Xenopus tropicalis: one gene and its partner. The protein of the gene in region 2 interacts with the protein of the main gene of each other region in a pairwise test. Links are inferred from orthologs where the notes say so. Each region holds a gene or a part of one and is shown on either strand. Other genes may lie near its edges.

Region 1 (3,658 bases), on a different chromosome or scaffold from region 2:
AACAAGGCACATTATAAAGAAATATTAACACAAACTGCACAAAGACCATTCCAGAAACACTTTTAGATTAAGACAATATTAAAGGGGTGTTCACCTTCAGGTTAACTTGATGAAATTACCTATTCTTAGCAACTTTTCATTTGGTCTTCATTTTTTTATAGCTTTTGAATGATTTCCCTTTGTCTTCTGACTCTTTCCAGCTGACCCCAGCAGCAAAAAAATAATTCCTCAGCGGGGCTACAATTTTATTGTTACACTTTATTACTTATCTTTATATTTAGGCCCTTCACTATTCATATTCATGTCTTTCTTTCAAACCACTGGCTTGTTGCTAGGTTATATTGCACCCTAGAAACCTGATAGCTGCTAAAATTTCAAACTGGAACAAACCACAACTAATAAAAAATGAAGTCCAGTTGCAAATTGTCACTGCCTGTGTTTTACTAAAAGTTGAACAACCCCTTAAAAGGGACAATATTTTCCCTCTATCCATAGAAAATATCAGAATCTATATGGAATGTGTATATGTAGATAGGTATATTTATTCTACGATGGAACCTTGCTGTCATAAAATACAGTATATACTGTAGGTTTCTCTGATTCTAGTTGCTCTCACCTGGTACAGATACAAAAAACTTAACCGCATCCCGGTGCCCATGGAAACAGAGCTGGGCCTGTGCCATGGAGCAGTATGGGATAAAACTGCCTGCGGTCTTGTCGCTGTTCTCATCGCTGTACACGTGGATGACTCCCCCAGGCCGCGTTCCCTCTCCAGAGGTGGGTGAAGTCTTGTTGGCTGTAGATATATAAAGTATTTGATAAGAAAAATAAACCCAATGAAGGCAGTGAATGTCACAGACAAGAGAGTGGGAAGTCTTATGCAAAATGTTATCATTGGCATTTTCTGTATCATGGGTGCCCTTGACTCTGAGACACTGGAACTACAAAGTCATTTAGATTTATAAAATGCTGACCCCAAGATCTGTTGAATCATGTACAGGTCCAGCAACACGGCCTTAGCAGAAGAGCGCCCCCCCCCCCCAGCCCACATAAGCCTTACTTCTTTTTGCCAAGGTTGGGAGTCACTTTGGGGGGCCCTGGGCAACCACCCACATTGCGCTTATGGTAATCTACCACTGCCTGTATGACATCTCATTTACACAACCTTCCTACATACCAATAAAGGGACCCTTAAGCACAAATTACCCATGTTTTCACATAACTTAGTTGTTCTAATATAAATATATATATATATATATATATATTATTTTTAATATATATATGTATATATATATACTACAGGCCCCATAAAAAAGTTAGCAGGGCCCTACTTCTATGAACCCCATTTATTATCCCAATGGTCAACATGGCTCCCTGGGAAGTTAGCCCTGCCAACAACTAGAATAGGGCCCCAAAAATCCACCCAAATCCTACCAACTCCCTCCAAACCCTGCCTACTCCACAACCAGCAAATCACACCATTAATTCTCTTGGGGCCACCTCTGCCACGTAGCCCATCTGGAGTAGCTCCTGTACCCTGTTGATATTGGCCCCCGACTGTAGGTCACATACAGACAACTTCCAAAGTAAAGGAAATTCATATAGGATCTTTACCTCTGAACATTTTTCTTTAGCCACTCATCCCCTTTGCCTGACACCCTAAATGTATATTGTAAACACTATGGGACACATACTCACAGCACCGTCTTTCTTAACAATCTGACGGTGCTATTGGATAACACTGTGGGGTTCCATTTTGGAAGACAATGGTTTGGTCCCCTCCTTATCATTCAGTGGATCAGAAAACTCCCTGTAGCCCTCTGCTATGATCGCATTATGGAAAACTCCTTGTTCAATGCCATTGTAAATCTCGCACAGGAAATGAGACATTTTGTATGAGGTTATGTCAACTGCCATTTATTTTAGGGATGCACTGAATCCTGAGTGCCTGGTCAAACCAAATCTGGGGGCGGGGAGTTGATCTTGGGTAAAGGTAAAAATGAATTAGAATTTAGATTAATTTCGGTTTTTGCCCAAATCAACGTGGGGAATTAGGTATTTGGGCAAAATAGAAAAATGATGAGTTCGGTGCATCCCTATTCCATACATACAGTACACCAAACAACACAGAGCCCACCACCAAACAGTCAGAGGCTTTCAGAAGCCTCTGTGATCTCATGAATGCTGAAGGATGATGAAAAGATTCAGATGGAGAGAGAGAAGGTCATGTGGAAGGATGGGATGAGGTGAGATCTGTGGAACTTCATAGGTCCTCGACTTACCCCTCAGCCCCAGCAGCTGCCCCCGATGTAGGACTACCGCTAGCGGAGGTCAGGAGAGGTGGAGGGGTTGGGAATAGTAATGGGGAAATGAGGAAGAGAAGGAAAAGCGAGGGAAGGAAGGGTAGGCATGGAGAACACAAAAAGAAAAGAAATTATTGGCAGGATCTTCCCAAAGTAAATTATAAATCCTCTGCTTTAAACAAAACAAAAGAGCAATTCTCTGCACTCTGTATCCTGGGGGAATGGTGTGGGCATGTTTATGTGTAAGGTGTTGGTATCCTTTTAAAGGGCAAGTAAAGCCTCACTTAGGCTTGGTTTATTAGTATATATGCCCCAGGTTTAGAAGGGGAATGAGACGCATCCCAGAATAAAAAGGGCTGGGTTCAAACTATAAACAAAGAAATATAAGATGCTGGCCACAGCAGCACTGGGCTGGGATTCAAAATAGGCCGTGGCATTTCCAGTACACAGAGGCCCAAAAAGCTCTCACCAGTCCACTATATAGTGATATAGTCTATGGCATCTTACAGCAGCCCCTCTGGTATTTGCCAGAATGCACTGAATGCCAGTCCGGGCCTGGGCCACAGAAAGCAACAAAGCAGCCCCATGCCATTATATTCATAAACTAAGCCTACAGCTGGGGCAATATTAAGGCTGAGTTATATTCACCAGAAACTTTTCGGGACCTTGGAAAAAGAAGCTTCTTACAAGGCCTCCCCTGACAATGACAATATGCTAAATGTCATATTTAGACAAGGGTAGAAGGTGGTTCTTGCAGCCAGTACCACTGGGCCTTATTTAATGAAATACAAAGAGTGTTCCTCATTATGTGGTGCTGCCTGTGCCTGGCATGCTAAGAGATAGATGTGGGTGTTGGCTGGGATTATTAAGGCTGCACAAGGCATGCAACAAATTGCATCGAGCCCACACTCGTGTAGGTGAGGATAATATTATTTTGGGCAGAAAATGTCCCTAGTGAGTGCTATGCCAACCACACCAAAAGGGAGCTTCTGGTGTGGGGGCAGCCATGTTGGTACAAGATGCAGGCGCATAATTTAATATATGCATGACACAGGATTTGTATATTCCTTCCTTGTTCTTACAGAACATGAATGCGCATAAATGAGTAGGCTAGGGTACTCATTATGTGCAGCTAAACACTACTGGTGGCATTTTATGGTCAAAATATTATTGTTTTCCCTCAGCCAGAGGGTATGATCTATTATACCACATTTCCAGTAGGGGGAAGCAAATCAGCTAAGATATGTGCCCTTTAACACCTAAACAGGGTATTTTGCACCACTAAGTGCTGCACTCTGTGTCTATGGCTGACCCAAAGGGCAACAAAAAATGTCCATAGTGGTAAGCACTCGCAC
Region 2 (3,658 bases):
AGGAGTGAGCAGTCTGTGGCCCAACTGGAGGAGGAAAAGAAACATTTAGAATTTATGAATCAGCTGAAAAAATATGATGATGATATTTCCCCATCGGTATGCACTTTAACTGAAGTTAAATTTTCCATTCTTGCATATGCTGATATTAATGCGTGAAGCACAGTATATGTGCTTACATTTAAATTAAAGTGATAGAATTGATTTTATAAATTTGGGTCGATGATTATTTTAAAACTAAAATGTTTTTTTAACTCTGTAAAATAAAAATTGGCAGCAAAAAGATGTGCATGGTGTTGCGGTATTGCAGATGAAATCCGCCTGTTGTGCCTCTTTAGTGCCCATGCAGAGAGCACTTCTGGTCTGGCTGCACTCTGGATCTTGTGGCAGATTTAAAAAAAATCTGTGCGGGGTACAGAATGCAACACCAGCAGACCCCTTTTTCTGGATTGCTTGAGAATTCCCATAGATTCCTGTAATGTTAGTCTTTGTGATTTAATTATGCTTCTCTCTACCTGTCTGCTCAGATGAATTTATGGAAAAGCCCTTTGACTGAACCATATGTGTGGATATCCGCTTGGCATTCTGTGTGTTCTTCAGGCATAGTGGAAATGCTTGACATTAACCTGAATCACAAAAACATTCTAATGGTTAAAAAAAACAGATCGTTTTTATCCCCCCCATGTTTTGTACTAGTGCTCTTACCCAGTCCCAAGTTTTGCAAAAATAAAATTCAGATACCTATACTTACTTGTTCTTACTGCTCATTTTTTTCAGGATGATAAAGATAGCGATTCCTCCAAGGAAACTCTGGATGATCTGTTCCCAAATGATGATGATGATCCAGGCCAAGGCAGTAAGTGCATGAATACCTTTAATGTCCCTTCTAGCTTCTGTTTTTTTATTTTTTATACATACGGGTTATTGGCTCCATCCAGTAATTTATTCCAGACTCAAGGATATATGTTCCAACAAGATTTTCAGTTTTATTGAGATTCACCTAATGGTTGCTGATATGCAATTCACTTGTGATTTGTTTACATATTCTTTTTGCAATAGTGGGTGAAGTACTACCATCTAAAGCACTCTTGTGCCAGTAGTATTCATGGAAACAGACCTTTAACCCAAAATACAGTCATAAAAGTGGCCAAGGATATGTTTGCTTGCAATATGGCTGGATAAATTAATCTGTTCTCATTTTGTGCAGTACAACAGCAGCACAGCAGTGCAGCAGCAGCTGCCCAGCAAGGTGGCTATGAAATCCCTGCAAGATTAAGGACCCTCCATAACCTGGTGATTCAGTATGCTTCCCAGGGAAGGTATGAAGTTGCTGTACCTCTCTGCAAACAAGCTCTTGAAGACCTGGAGAAGACCTCTGGACATGATCACCCAGATGTTGCCACAATGCTCAATATACTTGCTTTGGTCTATAGGTCAGTAGTTTTGTCTGCATAGTAAGTAACCCTGCCCTGTCTTTTCATTGCAGATGTTTCATGATTTTATAGGTTATTGTTGTGCATCCTACAGTAAAGATATTTTTAAACTGTCTGTTACCCCAGTTACCTGTGCTTTCATATTGTATGTAGGCTGGAGGTGTTATATGTTTGCATATATTCCAGGCTGGGGGCCATATGTAATCCTGTGTAGTGCTCATTCAGCTCACAGGCCTCCATTCGCTGGTACTGGAATGTGTTTTACTTCCAGTACCCATTAATATAAGCATCTTATCTTGACCATGTAACACAAACAGCCTATTTAGTTCCAGTTTAATTCCAGTTCCCTCACCCCCCCTTTTTTTTTTTTTTTTTTTTTTAACAAGTGCATACCTGAGCTAATGCTTTATGTATGGTTCTAAACTCTATTACAGGGATCAGAATAAATACAAAGATGCTGCCAACCTATTAAATGATGCCTTGGCTATCCGTGAAAAGACTTTGGGCAAAGACCACCCAGCAGTAAGTGGAGATATATATATATATTTTTTTTGTTGTTGTTGTTTTGTCTCCTTGCTGTTTAGTTAAGTGTTAATGTTAATTAATGGTAATTTAAACTTAACAGGAGAGGTTACTTAACACTGGGATTCTCAGTAAAATTAGCAGGTAGGATTACATGTTGATGTTCACTCTGGTCACCGATCAACACTACAGAAAATTTGCCTTCATGTTAAAGCAGCTGTCCTACCAAGATACCATTCTACTACACTACAGAAAGAGAAAAGAAATATATATGTTTTATATATCTATTAGTCCTTACCAATTGTCCTACTTGCAGTTTCTCTCTAGGCATGCTTCTCTTACTGCTACCTGCGTTCTTTTTACCAGTTCATCATCATCTCACTCACACCTAGTTCATTTATCTTTAGCTTCTTTCTTTTTGGAGAAAGGAAAATGTAAAAGAAAGTTTTCTTTGTGTTGTTAGGAGACCTATTGGATAAATAGAAAAACCCCTAATTTTGTAGGCAATTATGAATAAAATGAATTCAATTTGTAAAAATGGCCCCTTTATTGGAGCTCCCTATAGATCCTACCAGTTCTCTGTCTGTGTTTCAAATGAAGGGTGGGTGTGTCTTAATGGTCCCTGCCAGAAGCACAGCAGGAGGGGGACAACCAATCACAGCCTTGCACTTACACAAGCAAAGATAGGCTTCAGTTCCCTATCAGATCAGCCTAGCTGCTGATTGGTTCCTATCCTACAATGCCATGTACTGAGAGTCGCGGGCTCCCCTGCACACCCAGAGAATTCAGCCTGCAGGAAGGGGAACAGATGGGCGGGACTAGTGGGGTTTTGGTGGAATTTCTCAATAAATCAGTCCAAAACACAACTTTTTTAAGCACAATCCTTCTATATTTAGAGGAGTATAATTCACTGGTACATTCTTAATTTTTATATGATGTGTCTCTTTTAAAGAAAAAAGTACCATTGCTCCTTCATAGAGTTGCAGCAACAATTCTCCAAATGTTTCTAACATGAAAGGATCCCCTGACAGCCTTTGCATTGAAGTTTTATTTTGTGAGACAAAAGAAAGCAAACCAATATTTTAAGATATCTTTAAATTAGAGACAGAATGCCACAAATTGTCCAATTACAAAATGATCTGGTTTTTGGTCCTAAATTGACCCTGCAATGAAACACCTCCTCCAGTGCAGTAACATACTTAACCTAGCTAATCTGGAAACAATATCTGTAACAGGTATCTGACATAACTCTGAAGCTGGTCAATACTGTTTGGTTTAAACAAAGAATTATAAAGAAAAAAATAACTTTTAACTTAAGCATACAGATTGAATTATTGTGGGCTGCTCCTTTAACATACCTGCTGAAATTCATATTTTTCTGTCCTACATTAGATTTGAATTCAGTTAACAAATGCATGCTTTGAAAGCAAATGGAAAACAATTTATGCTTTTGTGTTGAATATTGTAAATTGCTTGTAAAACATGACCATGGTGATTTTTGTATCAGTTTGAAATCTGTAGATGAGCTGATTTTATCCCTAAAGGTGAAGGAAAGGCATTTTGGGATTTTACTGTCAATAGATTTGCCACATTAATGCCACATAGAATAATATATATATTCTGCAGAAAGCATTACCATACTGGAGTAAAGAGCCCTAGAAGCTTTCTCTGTTTGCTTAAGATTGCAGCTGCCATTTTAACTTGGT

The links.
Region 1: the proteins of klc1 (region 2) and mapk8ip3 interact in binary tests that used the Homo sapiens proteins (3 or more experiments, as listed by UniProt). The link is inferred for Xenopus tropicalis from reciprocal best matches to the Homo sapiens genes KLC1 and MAPK8IP3.

Annotation. Positions count from the first base shown.
Region 1 is NC_030685.2:22,616,378-22,620,035, reverse strand, and holds part of mapk8ip3 (C-Jun-amino-terminal kinase-interacting protein 3), read right to left. Parts: intron 2,322-3,658; coding exon 2,283-2,321; intron 797-2,282; coding exon 617-796; intron 1-616.
Region 2 is NC_030684.2:98,526,575-98,530,232, forward strand, and holds part of klc1 (kinesin light chain 1), read left to right. Parts: coding exon 1-96; intron 97-774; coding exon 775-853; intron 854-1,204; coding exon 1,205-1,430; intron 1,431-1,864; coding exon 1,865-1,952; intron 1,953-3,658. UniProt on the Homo sapiens protein: Kinesin is a microtubule-associated force-producing protein that may play a role in organelle transport. The light chain may function in coupling of cargo to the heavy chain or in the modulation of its ATPase activity.